2 linked regions of the Struthio camelus genome follow. The protein of the gene in region 2 purifies or fractionates together with the protein of the main gene of each other region. This does not show direct contact. Links are inferred from orthologs where the notes say so. Each region holds a gene or a part of one and is shown on either strand. Other genes may lie near its edges.

Region 1 (7,508 bases), on a different chromosome or scaffold from region 2:
CCGGGGCAGGGAAGGGAGGGCGGCATGCAAATGGCATGCAAATGAGATGCAGATGAGCCCGGCGCCTTTCCCACGGGGCCGCGGGCACGTTCTAAGGAGATGCAAATGGCATGCCAAAGAACGCGTGACGCACGGCGCGCGCGGGGAGGGGGAGGTCCCAAGCCTGACATGCAAATATATGCAAATGAGCCGGGAGCGCGATCGGCCCCCGCGGGGCAGCGCCCTGGACTACGTCTCCCAGGGGGCGCCGCGCGCCGCCGCGCCTGCGCGCTGGGGGGGAAGGGGGCCGCGCGGCCGCCGAGGGGGACGCGTCACCCAGGAGGCGCCGCGCGCGGGTGCCCTGGCAACGCCCCCTCCGACTTGCCCCCTCATGGGTCCGGCGCGGGGTCGCCCGCGTGACCTCACTTCCGGCGCGGCCTAGAGACGCCCCCCCGCGGGGGCCGGAAGTGCGCCGGCTCCGCGAGCGCCCCGGTAAGAGGGTGGGGGGGGAGGCGCCGGGCCGGCCACGGGGGTGCCCCCCCCCCCGCGCCTGGGGCAGGGCGAGACCCCCGAGCCGGGCCGGGGTTGGGGCGGGGACCCCCTGGAGCGGGCCGGGGGAAGCCTGGGGGCCCCCTGGAGCGGGCCGGGGACTCGCAAGGCGAGTCGGGGCCCCCTAAGTGGACTGGGGTCCCCTGGAGCAGGCTGGAGACCCGCGAGTCGGGCAGGGGCCCCCTAAATGGGCCGAGGACCCCCCCCCGGAGCGGGCCAGGGATTCCCAAATCCGGCTGGAGGAGGGTCGGGGACGCTGAGGTGGTGCGGGCAGAGCTGGGGCTGGGTGGGGGGAAGGAGCAGGGGCAGCTCCCCCAGCAGGGCTGGGGAAGGAGCTGCCGTGCCCCGCCGCTGACAGCCTGCGCTGCCCCGCAGAGGGCCAAGCGATGGCGGACGATGGCGGCGACGAGAAGAAGCAGGTGGCCAAGTTCGAGCTGGAGCGGGAGACGGAGTTGCGGTTCGAGGTGGAGGCCTCGCAGACGGTGCAGCTGGAGCTGCTCACCGGCATGGCAGAGGTCTTCGGCACCGAGCTCACCCGCAACAAGAAGTTCACCTTCGACGCCGGCGCCAAGGTGGCCGTCTTCACCTGGCACGGCTGCACCGTGCAGCTCAGCGGGCGCACCGAGGTGGCCTACGTCTCCAAGGACACCCCCATGCTGCTCTACCTCAACACCCACACGGCCCTGGAGCAGATGCGCCGGCAGGCGGAGCGCGAGGACGAGCGGGGGCCCCGCGTCATGGTGGTGGGCCCCACGGACGTGGGCAAGTCGACCGTGTGCCGCCTGCTGCTGAACTACGCCGTGCGCCTGGGGCGCCGGCCCACCTTTGTGGAGCTGGACGTGGGCCAGGGCTCCGTCTCCATCCCCGGCACCATGGGGGCCCTCTACATTGAGCGCCCTGCCGACGTGGAGGAGGGCTTCTCCCTGCAGGCCCCGCTGGTTTATCACTTCGGCTCCACCACGCCTGGCACCAACATCAAGCTGTACAATAAGGTGAGTATGGGGGGGGGGCCCGGGGGGGGGTCTGGGAACGGTGCAGCCCTGCGGTAGGGCCCGGGCACGGGGCTGCACCGCTTTTGGAGGCTTTTGCAGGTTAAACCCTGAGCAACCTGATCTGGCTTGGTAGTCAGCCCTGTTTGGGGCAGGGCTAGGGCTAGGGCTAGAGCTCCCTTCCGCCTTACTTATTCTGGGAGACTCTGATCTGTTTTGCTGCTACGTAAAACCATGGTGCGCTTCAGTGTCGTGCCTGCTTCCGGGCGCTCCTGCTCAAGAAAGACGTTGTGAAGTTTGAGAAGGTGCAGAGAGGCGTAACTGTATCAAGGGGATGGAGTAGCTGTGTTAGGAGAGACTAAGAAGGCCGCAGCCTTTCAGTCCAGAGAGGAGAGGGCTGAGGGAGTCTGACGGGTTTACAAAATCGTACAGCTGCTAGGTGAGCCAAACGGGGAACTGTTAGTCACCGCAGCTTGCAACAGAGGAAATACGGGACGTCCGATGAAACCAGCTGGAAATTGGTTTAGAGCAAATAAAAACAAGCTCTTCTGTACACAGCTGTCACAGCAGGCTGCGGAGGCAGACAGAATCGGCGGGGTCAAGAGGGACTTAATGCATTCGTGGACAGCAGGCCCATAAATAGATGTGAAAAAGGGTGGGCAGAGATGTACTTTCTACCATCCCTACAGCTGCATGGGGAGCTGGGTAGAAATGGACTGCAGAAGGTGACCAGGCTCACATGTCCTCCTTTAAAAAAAAAAAAAAAAAGTGTCTGTCATTGCCAATGTCTCTTGCTGTTTGGGGATAGAAGCTTCTCAGTTGCTCCCCTGAGCCTTTTACCCAGTCAGGACCAATGTGGTCCTACTCACGTGCTGTGGCTTTGAGGATCTCAAAGGAGGCGGCAAGCGTAAGCACAGCAGGGGAGATATCTGGGATGCTGAAATACTGTGGTAGCCCAGCTGGGGAAAGCGTGGAGGGGTCAGAGTGCAGAGCAGCAACGGATCCCGTCTCCTCCCTGTTCCTCCTCTGCCAGAGAAGGTGTTGCCATCTTGTCTGCTCCGGGGCTCCTAATGGCAGCAGCCCTGAGAAGGGGGTACAGGTGGAAGGGGGATTCAGCTCCTGGCGTGCCCGAAGAGATCTCTCTGTCCTAATATTTCTGCCCTTTCTTCCTCACAGATCACATCCCGCCTGGCAGACGTCTTCAACCAGCGGTGTGAAGTGAACCGCCGAGCGTCGGTAAGCGGCTGCGTCATCAACACGTGCGGCTGGGTGAAGGGCTCGGGGTACCAGGCGCTGGTGCACGCCGCCTCTGCCTTCGAGGTGGACGTGGTGGTGGTGCTGGACCAAGAGCGGCTCTACAACGAGCTGAAGAGGGACCTGCCCCACTTTGTGCGCACGGTGCTGCTCCCCAAATCCGGTGGGGTGGTGGAGCGCTCCAAGGACTTCCGGCGGGAGTGCCGAGACGACCGCATCAGGGAGTATTTCTACGGCTTCCGGGGTTGCTTCTACCCCCACGCCTTTGACGTCAAGTTCTCTGACGTCAAGATCTACAAGGTGGGGGCTCCCACCATCCCGGACTCCTGCCTCCCCCTGGGCATGTCGCAGGAGGACAACCAGCTCAAGCTGGTGCCGGTGACGCCGGGGCGGGACATGGTGCACCACCTGCTGAGCGTCAGCATGGCCGACAGCCCCGACGACAACATCTCGGAGACGAGCGTGGCCGGCTTCATCGTGGTCACCGGCGTGGACCTGGAGCGCCAGGTCTTCACCGTGCTGTCGCCTGCCCCTCGCCCGCTGCCCAAGAACTTCCTCCTCATCATGGACATTCGCTTCATGGATCTGAAGTAGAAGCAGAAAATAGGGAGTCTCCTCGGAGACGGGAGAAACAGAGGGGGCAGCCCCACACCTCAGACTTCCAGGGGAGCAAGGAAACATCTGCCAGCTGGGTCATCCTGCGCGGCTGGAAGTTGTCTGCTTGCCTGTGTCCTTTCTTCTTCATCCAGCAGGTTTCTGGCCCCGAAGTCTGGCCACTTCTCCCCTTCTCACGTGCCAGCGAGCACTGCTGAGCCCTCTCATACAAGAGGCTCGCTGCTCGATCTTTTTTTTAATATCCTTTTATAACTTTTGTTATTAAATTTCCTAGCCTTTTGCTTTTCCGTGCCCTGTGAACTTTTGTCCCGGTGCCTCAGCAGTGGGGCAAAGCGGAGGGGGCAGGTAAGGAGAAGAGCAGCTCAAGGCCGAGCGATGGGAATCCTGCGCTGCTGATAAAACAGAGAGAGGCTTTGGTGGGGGAAGCTGAGGCTGGGGAGACGGTGGGAGCAGAAGCCATGTCTTTCCTCTCCGACTTACTCCCCTGAGCTCTGCGGGGAGGGGGGGGAGCGTAGAAGAACATGACCCTCACCCCCGTGGCCTGCTGTCTTTAATGACCCGGGTAGGAGGGAGACCCCCCCCCCAAAGAGGGGGAGCAGCCCCCTGCCTCAGGGGCAGACGGGGCACCCGGGGGGCACCCAGACCCCGGGGCTGCCTTCGGGCAGGGGGTCCCCTGCCCACCCCGGGTGTGGACCCTGCGCCTGTGAGGCCAGTGGTGCCCCCGGAGCACGGGGAGGGGGGGGAGCTGGAGGCGGGGGACACGGCGACCACCGACCCCTCGGTTGTGCCATGGGGGGGGCGCCCCCCCTCCCGGGCTGTGCCACGGGCCGCGGCGGGGGAGGAGCGGCGGCCCCCCCCGCAGCTGCGCAGTGCGCGCCGCCACCCGCCGCGAGGGTGGTACGTTCCGCGCATGCGCCCGCCCACCCCCTCCCGACGCATGCGCACCGCCTCCCACCACCACCTTCCCCCCCTCTTCCTCCCACCCGCGCGCATGCGCGCCGCTCTCCCCCCTCGCCTACTTCCAGGCGGTTCCCCGCGGCGCGCGGCCCAATGAGGTGTGGCGGGCGGGGGCGCGCGCGACGCTGCCGCCGCCACCGCCGCCGCCGCCGCCGGGGCCCGGTTTCCGGCCGGTGCGCAGGCGCGGCCCCCGTGACGTCGTGGCCGGCCGCCGAGCGCCGCGACGGTTCGTGGCCGGCAGCGTTGCGCGCGGCCCTTCCCAGCCGCCTCCGGGCCGGGCCGGGCCGCGCCGCGCCGCCCGGTGAGTCACAGCGGGCCCCCGGCCGCCTCCGGGCCCCTTCCCCCGCTCCCCCCGCTTTCCTCCGGCCTCGCCCGCCGTGTGCCCGGCCCCGGGGAGGGGGGGGGCGGGGGGGCGGCAGCCCGAGGCGGTTCCCTCCGCCGGTTCCGGCCGGCTGTGCCCCCGCGGAGCCGGTCCCCCGTGGCGGCGGCGGCGGCGGCCCTGCCCGCTCCGCCGTCCCCCCTGCCCCTGCTTAACGGCCCGGCGGGTTAAGGCAGCACCTCCTTAACAGGAACTCTGCTTCCTTCTGCTCCTGGCTAAGATGTCGCCTTCCTGCTGGGCCAGCGGTGACCGCCGGTGCCTTCCCCCCCGGGCTCCCCGCCTGAAGCCCCTTCTCCCCTCACCTCCCCCCAGCTGCCCTCTGCAAGGGCAGGTGTTGCCCCCCCCCCCCCCACGGCCGGGGTTGGGGGTGTTGGGGGGGGGGATTGCTGGGCCGCGCCGGTGGCCCTGCCGTGGGTGCGGTAGCGCCGCGAGTCCTGCGGGCCTGGAGGATGGGGAGCGCTGGTGTTTGAGAGGCTGGGGGCGGCGGGCGTACGTGCACCTGCCAGCGGCTTCGTTTCCCCCGTTGCCTGCGTCCGGAGCTCGCCCCTGGATAGGCGGAGGTCGTCGTTCGTTGTCCTTCCGTGCTGGGATCGGTTGCTTTTGCTTTTCGATCCCTCTGCTTTAGGAGCCGTCGTGGTTACAGCCCTCGAAGTAGGCAGCGTTATTCTGTGAGTGACTCCTTCCTGGCTGAGCGGGTGGAACAGTTGCGTCCGTGTGAAAGTTTTCCGTTCCAGGACACGTTTGCTGTCCTCTAACTGGGACCGTCCTCGCTGCCAGTAGCCCTAATACCTTTGATAAAGTCTCTACAACTTTATTTTCTGACAGCCTGGTGTCTGGACTTACGTGTTCTGATTCTCGTGGCCTGCCAGTGGCCAGAAGTTAAAACCTCAGGCTCTGACAGCGCCCTGTTCTGTGTGCTGCTGCCTTGTCTAAATCCGAGTTACGCCTCAAAACACGTTTCCACGTTACGTTCTGTGGTTTTTGGTGGTGTAATAGGTTGCGTTGGCCAGTGTTCAACCTGACTTTTACTCGGAAGTTTTAAAGGATGGATGTGAGATGTGTAAAGCTCAATTTGTTGCCTCTGTGTGTTTGGTGGCATCTCCCTTAGATGAGATTAAAACCCCCAAATCTCCGCCCTCCCGCCCATCTTGCTGATGCAGGAAAGAGGGACTTCTTTTGCGTTTATAGCGTTGCCTTACTGGTGACTTCGTAGGAAGCGGTTTCCTCTAGGAGTTCTAGTTTTCACTCCATCATATATCCCAAATGGGGCATTTAGGGAAGCACGCTTTCTACCCTTGATGCTCCTGGAGTTTTTCTGGGGTATAAAATATGACTAGAGCCTCGTCTAGATCCAAATGAGGAGAGTTGATCTTGGATCAACTTAGCAGGCTTAATCTAATTATCACCTTCTCTGCCTTCCAGTCGAGACAGCAATTGTTTTTTAGCAGGGGGCTTTAATTCCTGTTGGTTTCTGAGGTAGGAGGTAGCCTTGACTAGAGGCTGTGACAGTGATAATTAAACGAAGCTGACTGGGTCTAACAGGAGACCTTTAACTCCTATTTTAGACAAGGCCTATTTTGGGAAATTCACACCTCTATTGCTGTGCCCATTGTTTCAGTCCCTGACGGTTGCTTCTGATAACACAATGGCAAGAGAGCTGGGCTTTAGTCCTTGCTCGCTGTGATACGCTGAATGAGATGTGGATGCGTTGAAGGCATAGAGGCATCCTACTTCCCTGCTTTGTCTGTAAAACGGGGCTAATCCTGTGTAAATCACTGTAAGATGGACAGAAGAAAAAGAACGGGAGTGGTATAAGCCAGGCCAGGAGATAAGTACTGAGTGGATGCTGGCTTCGTTAGCTGTTCTCTGGAAGAAAATATTTGTCCCTCTTCTGTTTTCTTACTCCCCTTTAGAAGAAAATGGGACACCTAACTGCACAAAAATGCAATAATGCAAAACTTAGGCTATTTGCCTGAAAACATGAGGGAAGCCATGGAAGTTTAGTTCTAGACGGGTTTCCTAATTTCCCCACAATGAAAGCACACAGCGTGACTGTATATTCTCCTTGCGAATTAAACGCAGGAAAACGTCACCAAATAGTCTCTTTGAGGCGGGGGGCTCACGTTTCTGTACAGTGCTGAGCGCAAGAGGGCCTGACTTCTGTAGTCCAGTATTACCACGATACAGATGATAAGAAAATTGTTGTATATGGGGAAGCCGTGCAGCTTCATGTTGCTATGGGAATGTTAATATTTACCTTTCCACGTAGCATCCAGCTGTCTGACGTTAAACTCTTATCAATGCAAGAATATTTTTGCTTTTGATTTTAAGTTGTGGTATGCATCTCTGTTACCGAAATCCAGTTGTGTCGTCCATGTTAAAAAGATACTTGTCTTTGACTTCTTCTCACTCTCCAGGTTCTGTGATTGAAATGACAGAGTGGGTCCTGGCTGGGACGTATTTCAGATCTCATCAGTGCCTCTCCTTGCTGGAAGACAGGGAAGGTCGCAGAGAAAAGTGGTGTTCTCCTGTTGATAGTCTGCAGAGTGAGACATTTGGTCTGATTCAGTTGGCAGGTTTAAGAACGCTCTTGCTCTCTCTCCTGATTCTGACAGTTCTTAAATATCAGTGGTAGACGAGAGCTGATTGTGCAACTCTCTTCTGCTTTGGTGTAAGCATCAATCAAGGATTCTGTGCCAAAACGGGGGAGTCTGCGACGTCGGGCTGGCCGCCTCGCTTGGTTTTAGCTGTGAAAGGTTGAGGGTACCGAGGCTCAGGACGATAGA
Region 2 (7,310 bases):
TATAAACTCTAGTAAAATCATAATTGGATCAAACTTTGCATTCAAAAGCACATTCTTGGAGAATATTTTATATGCACATAAAACATCTGAGAAAATGTTAACATTATGATCTTAACTGCTTGCACATTGGAACCAGCTAAAGGTTAGGAAAACGCGGCCCATCTGGTACAGTACTCCAAACGGATTATTTCTGAGCGCGTTTCCTTCAGGACCTGGTTGGCGGCGGCGCAGGAGCCCCGCTCGGAGGAACTGCGGACGCGCTGCGACGCGCGCGCCAGGATGCTGCCCATCGTCCACAGCAGGAATCTGCCCCGTTTATTTTCACCGCGCTCACGACCCGGGTCCCCGGAGAAGGGGCAACACCCCGCCGCGACACAGGGCGGCCGAGGGCGGCCCCTGCCCCAGGCAGCCAGCAGGACGCCACCGCGCTCGCCGGCGCGGGGGCCCAGCCGAGGCGCGAGGAGGACCGGGAAGGTCTGGAGCAGCACCCGCTCCGCTGCGCCGCTCCACGCAGCTCCCCGCTTCCTATGCCTGTGCGGAGGTTGTTTGTTCAAGCAAACCAATTAGGTGTTTATTAGCCTTCATTATGGAGTGCGAGAGGGTTAATTAGTTCAGGCTGTTCCGACGGGGCTTGAGGGTGATCAGCAGCAGCTGATACCCAGGTTCCCAGGGCAACCCACCACCTAGCCTGATTTTTCTTTTCCTTTTTCTCTCTTCCCTGAGCAAATTAGGAGTGCCATTATCGGATTTGCAAACTGCTTAGCGCATGGAGTGCATCCGGGCAAGAGGAGGCTGGGGGCGCAGGGGACAGGGCAGCCCTGCCCCATCCCCTCCGCACCCGGCAGGCCCCAGGGAGGCAGAGGGGCTATCGTCTCTTGCTGCTCCATCGGCACCGAATTCATCCCAGCCATCGAAAGGCCTCTCGCGGAGGAAGGACAGCGCTGCGCTGGTCACCGCAGCGATGTGAATGAAGCAGCCCGGCCTGGCCAACGTGCAAAGGGGGAACCGCAAATGCTAAAAACGTGGGATTCACAGGAGTGTCAGAAACCCCCCGCGGACGCCCAGCTCGCTCCTGCCATGCTCCACGCATGACCGGAGAGGACCAGCCATTTCCACCTGGCTCCGTGTTTCCCCTCCCAGCGGCCTGCCCCGCCTCCTGAATGAATTAGAGCAGTTTCCAAAAAGACAAGGGTTAAATGCAGGCAAAAAAAGGTCTTTAAGATGGTCCGGTGCCATGTACCCAGACACCCCCAGGCCCAGTCTGCCACCCTCTGTATATTCTCTGTTTGGACTAACGGCCTTTCCTGTGATTTATTTGCCCGCAAACTCCCGCAGGTCTGTTTAGGTGCGAGAACGGCTCCTCTGAATGCAGATTTCCCTATCCCTTTAGATGGGAAGAGCAAACATTATCAGCTTTTTAGCAAAAGAAAATGTAAGCTTAGCAGAAGGGCAGGATGAAGTAATTCAGACTGCCAGACTGAACTCTGGCAATCAGGTACAAGATAACAATTGCTGTGGCCCTGCCTAATTATTTCTGCTCCAGCTAATTGTGAAAAAACAGTCATTTCCACTTAAAAGACGCCCCGTGTGATCTGCAGGATGGCGATTCCCCTGAGGAGCTGCAGGTCCCCGGCAGAGTCCCTGCCCAGCCCCATGAGGGCTTTGAAGAGCGATGCCCTGCAGGGGCAGCGTTCTCCACTGGCATTTTCCAATTACTGTACAGAGACATCTGTCCCGTAGCCACCTTGCCCTGAAATCCGAGTGCCGCTGTCCCTCGGCCGGGGAGAAGCAGGGGTTCACGGCCGCTGCAGCTGCAGCCGCACGCCGCCGGGTCTGCGCTCGGTCTGCCTTGGCTTGGAGTGCCTTAGGGGTCTCAGAGTCCTGGGACCCCCAGGAAAACTCCCAGGACCGGTCCAGACCCTGCTAACTGTGCAGCTACAACACACCCTACCTGCAAGCTCTCAGGTGTCCAGCTGCCCTAACATTTCCAGCACGACACGTAGAAATAACATCTGCTTTTTTGGAAATTTAAAGGAAACGACGCTCCAAAGGGGCTGTCTGGAGAAAGTCTGAACTGCCTCTGCTCTCCAGACTCCACACTGCAAACACAGCTCCCGGCGCGTGGCCAAAGAGGTCCAGAACAACAAGCCCTGTCCCCTCCTGCTTTTTCTTTATTTGCACTCTTTGGGTGATTTCCTGCTTTTCCCTCTTCAGCACAGCCTGAACAGAGCAGTTATAGGACCAATGGCAGGAGATAAAGCCCAAAAATCTGGGCTAGGTCAAATTTTCCAAACGGTTGCAGAGCACAGAGGCCATCGTCATGGAGGGCAGATGCGATGAAACGACCTTCCCCCTGCAGCAGCGCTGGTGCCTGCAGGTGGTGGCCCAGGCCCGGAAAAGCAGCCCCACGGGCGAGGGCAATAGCACTCGGGCTGATCCGGGCGGGCAGGACGCCGCATCCCTCCAGGCTGCGGGGCACAGGCGGCAGTGCCAAACGTGCTGCGGCACCTCGGGAAAAAGCCTTGCGTGAGGCTGCCAAAGGAAGCACGCAGGGGACAGGGCAGGCAGTCGGGGATGGGAGAGCCCTAAACATGCTGCCGTTAGTTTTCTTCCGGGTCAGTGATCCGTGTGCAAGCGCCTGCGCTGGACGGCTCCCGAGCCCTTCACTCCGCTGCCTGAACGCAGCTGCCCGCTCCGCAGCCGCTGGTTTATTGCCGTCATAAAACACGTACACCATCGTCTTGATTTGCTTACAATCTTGCTTTTAGCCATAAAAATGCAGAAAAGTGCATTCAGCAGAGGAATAAAGTTGAACCCTACAGCTAGATACTGCAGCCGCTTGCAGACGTGCCAGGGCTGCACAGGCCCGTGAAACAGCACAGGCACACTGAGCAAGGCCAGGTTACTCAGCCAGGAGCGTTTTCTGTCCCTAAGAACACAAATTAGAGACCACATTTTACTACCAACATCTGGAATTTCAATGCCCTTGCAATAGATAACATCTGGATTGAATTCTCCTTTTATTTTTTACAGGGTCTTCTTATTTAATAAATAATAATAGTTTATTACTGCACTGTAAAATATCATAATCCTTTTCTCAGCAAGAATGAAAAAGATTCAGAAAAAATAGGAAGTGCTTTAAAAAGAGCACTGCCAAGAACTAACGAAAACAGAGCATTCCCTCAATAGAGAGATGTTTCTGCTTATTTCTGCATTTTATGGCACTCAGCTCAGTGTGTATTTGCAGATGTGCCAACAAGTGCACCAACAATCTAATAAAATCTTGGCTCACACGAGCTGAACCTGCGGAAGGCGCTTCACACCTCCTCGAGCTGGGCTGCTCCCCTGCAGCACTGGCTCGGGCCGGGCTGCCGTGGGCGCATCTCGCGCACACACATCCTCATGGAGCTGCTCACGACTCGGGTCTGCGGGGATCGGGGTCTGCCCGGATCGGGGTCTGCAGGGATCGGGGTCTGCCCGGATCGGGGTCTGCCGGGATCGGGGTCTGCAGGAACTGGGGTCCGCTGGGATTGGGGTCCATGGGGATTGGGGTCTGCAGGGATCACGGTCCACGGGGATCAGGGTTCAAGGGGACTGGGGTCTGCAGGGATTGGGGTCAATGGGGATCAAGGTCCACAGGGCCTGGGGTCTGCAGGGATCGGGGTCCACGGAGATCGGGGTCCGCGGGGCTCGGCACGGGAGCGGCCTCTGCTGGGGCCGCGCCAGCCATGGGCCGCTGAGCCCAGCCGCAGGCCTGGGCAGCGTTTCCCCAGCCCGTCGCTCCCACGCGTGTCACAACGGCGTGAGTCGAAGAGGGGAGGCCAGACAAGGTGCAAAATTCTGGGATGAGACTGTTAATGATTCCCCTTGCTGCTGGCCCAGCGTCGGCTTTCCAGTTGCCCCTCAACTAAACGATCTTCGGCCTTGCTTACGTCTGGCAGAAGCGGGACTCCCACGGGGGAGGCCACGATCCCCGCTCATCAGCGTCGCGAACGCCGGACGAAGCCGGAGCGAACGCCAGCCCGCGCCAAGCGGAGCGCAATTCACCCGCCGCAGCGCAGGCGAGGCGGCCGGCGCCTCCCGGGGCTACCGGCCAGCGCGGCGGCCCCGGCGGCCCCCCGGGACCAGGCCTCCCAGGAGGATCCATCTGCTTCCGCGGGGGAGCAGGACTGTACCATGCTGACGGGGGAGGGGGGGTGCGTCACGAAGACTGCACCAAGCCGCGCGCGCCTGCGGGGAAACAGACCCGTGATGGGCGGGGCAGGCACCCTGCAACCAATGGGATGCGGCGTGGCGAGGCGCATGCGCAGAGGATCCCCGGTGGCCTCTCCCGGCCCGTCCGCCAGAGGGGTGGGGAGGTGCATGCGCAGGGCGGGCGCTTCCGCTTCTTTCCGGGCCCTCAGCAACGCCGACGCGTTTGCGACAGCCGTAAGTGCGGCGGCGGCGGCGGCGGCGGCGGCTCGCCGCGGAGCGATGAGGCCGCAGCAGGCGCCCGTGTCGGGCAAGGTGTTCATCCAGCGGGACTACAGCGGCGGCACGCGGTGCCAGTTCCAGAGCAAGTTCCCGGCCGAGCTGGAGAACCGGGTAAGGCGGGCGGCGCCCCGCCCCGCTCGCCGCAGCACCGGGCCCGAGGCCGGGGTGGGGGGCGGGGGTGAGCGAGCGGCGGCGGCTCGGGCTCCTCGGAGGGGCCCGGAGAGCCCTGGCGGCGCGGCGGAGCCCCGCGAGCACGTGGAAGGTCCCTCCTCGTCCTCCCTGCCTCCGCTCCCAGCCCTCGCTCTAGGCGGGGGAGGGAAGCGGAGCCCCTCTCGGTGGCCGGGGAGCAGCTCTCCTCCGTCACGCCCCACGGGGGGTCTGCTAAGACCTGTCAGGTTTACTTCCAAGTTTAAAGACGGTAGCAGTTTCTTTTCCTCATCTTGATCCTGTCTGATGCACATCATGAGAGGGCATGTTTTCAGAGTTTGAAAGCAAAGTTTGAAAGAATGTTTCCACATTCTTTGGTTTTGGGCATGTAAACGTTGTTCATTGTATAAATGTCACTTGTGATTTATTGTAGCTACAAAATGCTTCTAATTTGACAAGAATATCTATGTTCAAAAATGCTTCTTTTCAGTGGTTTTGAAACGCTGGTGGTTTGTGCTATCTTTAATCCTGAGGAAAACAGCAGTCCTTTTGTAGCAATAAAATAAAAATGCACTCATTATGTCAATGAGAATAAAGCGTGCATTGTTGCACTGTGATGCATTAACGCTGACTTTTCTTGTGGAGACCAGACAGGTCTGCTGAGCCTGTTCAGTAGCCTTACAAGTACTGTCTCAAGTACTTTAATTTTGTTTATTGCAGTCAAACGTGACATCTTCAACTGATAGCCAAATGACCACTCCTTGATAATGCCTTTTCTTTTTCTCACTGTCCTTTTCTTCTTTTCTACTTTTTTCTGTTGGTTTAGTTGAGGGCTTATTTGAGCAGCACTGTAGAAGCCCCAAGGAATTACTGGTATCAGGAATTAGCTTTGTTAATCCATTCACATAATGCTCTTTTTTTTAATCTAGTAGATATCTCTGCCTGTGGATTTCTTTCTTTTTTTTTTTTTTAAGTGAATTGCCCTTTGGTTTAGTTAGTTGTTACTCCTAATTTCTTTGTGTTCAGACTGTTTTGGAATTCAGACTTGATCTAATCGCTTAGCGGATATTTACCAAAGAACTGCAGGTCTGTAATTCAAGGTGTCCTTCAAACTTTGGCTCTAAACGTATTACCTGTTTTAGATGTTTGTAGGTGACGCTACTGACAAAGTGTGGAAGTGCACGTGAGCAATAAATGAAGGTAGATATCTGATGATATCTGTGAGTTCTGAAGTGTGCAGGGCATGACTGTTAAATTTGACTTCTTCTGCAGATTGATAGGCAGCAGTTTGAAGAGACCGTCCGAACACTGAATAACCTTTATGCAGAAGCTGAAAAACTTGGAGGCCAGTCTTACCTTGAAGGGTGTCTAGCCTGTTTGACTGCCTATACTATCTTCTTGTGCATGGAAACACATTATGAAAAGGTAAGTCTACCTTACTGCTTGGAAGGCAGTGTATTCCATAGATTTCAGTTAAGGATTTGTTTCCTGGTAGATTTTCTGTGACTTGTACCATTCTTGTACAATTCCATATAGACACCAGAGCTTACTACAGAGTGACTTTACATATAGGCAAGCCTCTTGATAGATATCTAGTCAAACTGAGTGTTGACTTGTGCTTTAAATTCCAGAAGAATCATGTAACTTCTATCTGTAATGAAAACTGGCATTGTGACGTTAGGGTCCCCTAACGTTGTTATATTTGTGATAAAGCTGGGGCTCTGACTCTAATGCAGTAAAAACTGGTTAAGAAACTGACCTCTATGCTGTTCTATTATCAGGTTCTAAAGAAAATTGCCAAGTTCATTCAGGAACAGAATGAGAAGATCTATGCTCCTCAGGGCCTCCTTCTGACAGACCCTATTGAAAGAGGATTAAGAGTTGTATCCTTTAGTGGTTTCTTAGATTGTCTGCTGGTTTGTCCGTCTATGAAACGCTGACGTTTTATCTCAGTTAGAAGGGCATTCTGTAGTTCTAATGTCTTGCTTCTGGTTTTGTTTTCATAATCTTTTTATAGTATGTTTCCCTAACGGCCTTTCTCTGCAGATTGAAATTACCATTTATGAAGACAGAGGTATGAGCAGTGGAAGATAAAACTGTGGAGTCTAAGGTATTATTCACTTTATATTACATGTCAATCTAAACCCGTTCCTATACGCTCAGAGGGATAGACTGTCTTGCTGAGGGAGAATGTGTATGCAACCACTGCATGTAATCAAAGGCGTTTAACATAAATCTTGTGTGGATTAGATTTTCAGATACCGGTTGAAGATGTAAAAATAGCAATAATTAGCAGTATCCCACTGAATAATAGTGAAGTTCAGATGATACTAGATTTAATGAAATACAGGTCTTGATTGTGTAAATACATATAAATCTAACTTGTGCTGTGTAGTGTCAAAAATTGTTCTCTCACTTGTAGAGCCATGAGTCTTGATTCTGAAGTTTCTCTGTCATAAGATTGCTCAGAACCTTAAGCCTTCCCTTTAAAAGCAGACTTTAAAATAGGTTGCTTTTGGATCTCAGAACAGATTTCAGGCTAATCGCATAAGATATTCAGAAATAATCAGGAAAAATAATTGATGTTTTTCCTGTACTGCTGTCAAAGATGCAGTTTTCCCCATCAAATTATTTTTCGGAAGTACATGGGGCTTGGATCTCTTGTAAAAGCTTCTATGTTTCAAGCACAT

What was found.
Region 1: the proteins of GOLGA7 (region 2) and ZDHHC5 purify together in Homo sapiens (co-immunoprecipitation; 3 studies listed by BioGRID and IntAct, with this or other methods). This does not show direct contact. The link is inferred for Struthio camelus from reciprocal best matches to the Homo sapiens genes GOLGA7 and ZDHHC5.

The regions. Positions count from the first base shown.
Region 1 is NC_090946.1:7,497,492-7,504,999, reverse strand, and holds the start of ZDHHC5 (palmitoyltransferase ZDHHC5), read left to right. Parts: upstream 1-4,504; 5' UTR 4,505-4,644; intron 4,645-7,508. Other genes in the region: polyribonucleotide 5'-hydroxyl-kinase Clp1, read left to right, coding at 915-1,520, 2,694-3,365. UniProt on the Homo sapiens protein: Palmitoyltransferase that catalyzes the addition of palmitate onto various protein substrates such as CTNND2, CD36, GSDMD, NLRP3, NOD1, NOD2, STAT3 and S1PR1 thus plays a role in various biological processes including cell adhesion, inflammation, fatty acid uptake, bacterial sensing or cardiac functions.
Region 2 is NC_090968.1:7,699,504-7,706,813, forward strand, and holds the start of GOLGA7 (golgin subfamily A member 7), read left to right. Parts: upstream 1-4,301; 5' UTR 4,302-4,302; coding exon 4,303-4,584; intron 4,585-5,892; coding exon 5,893-6,045; intron 6,046-6,401; coding exon 6,402-6,503; intron 6,504-6,666; coding exon 6,667-6,714; 3' UTR 6,715-6,730; intron 6,731-7,310. UniProt on the Homo sapiens protein: May be involved in protein transport from Golgi to cell surface. The ZDHHC9-GOLGA7 complex is a palmitoyltransferase specific for HRAS and NRAS.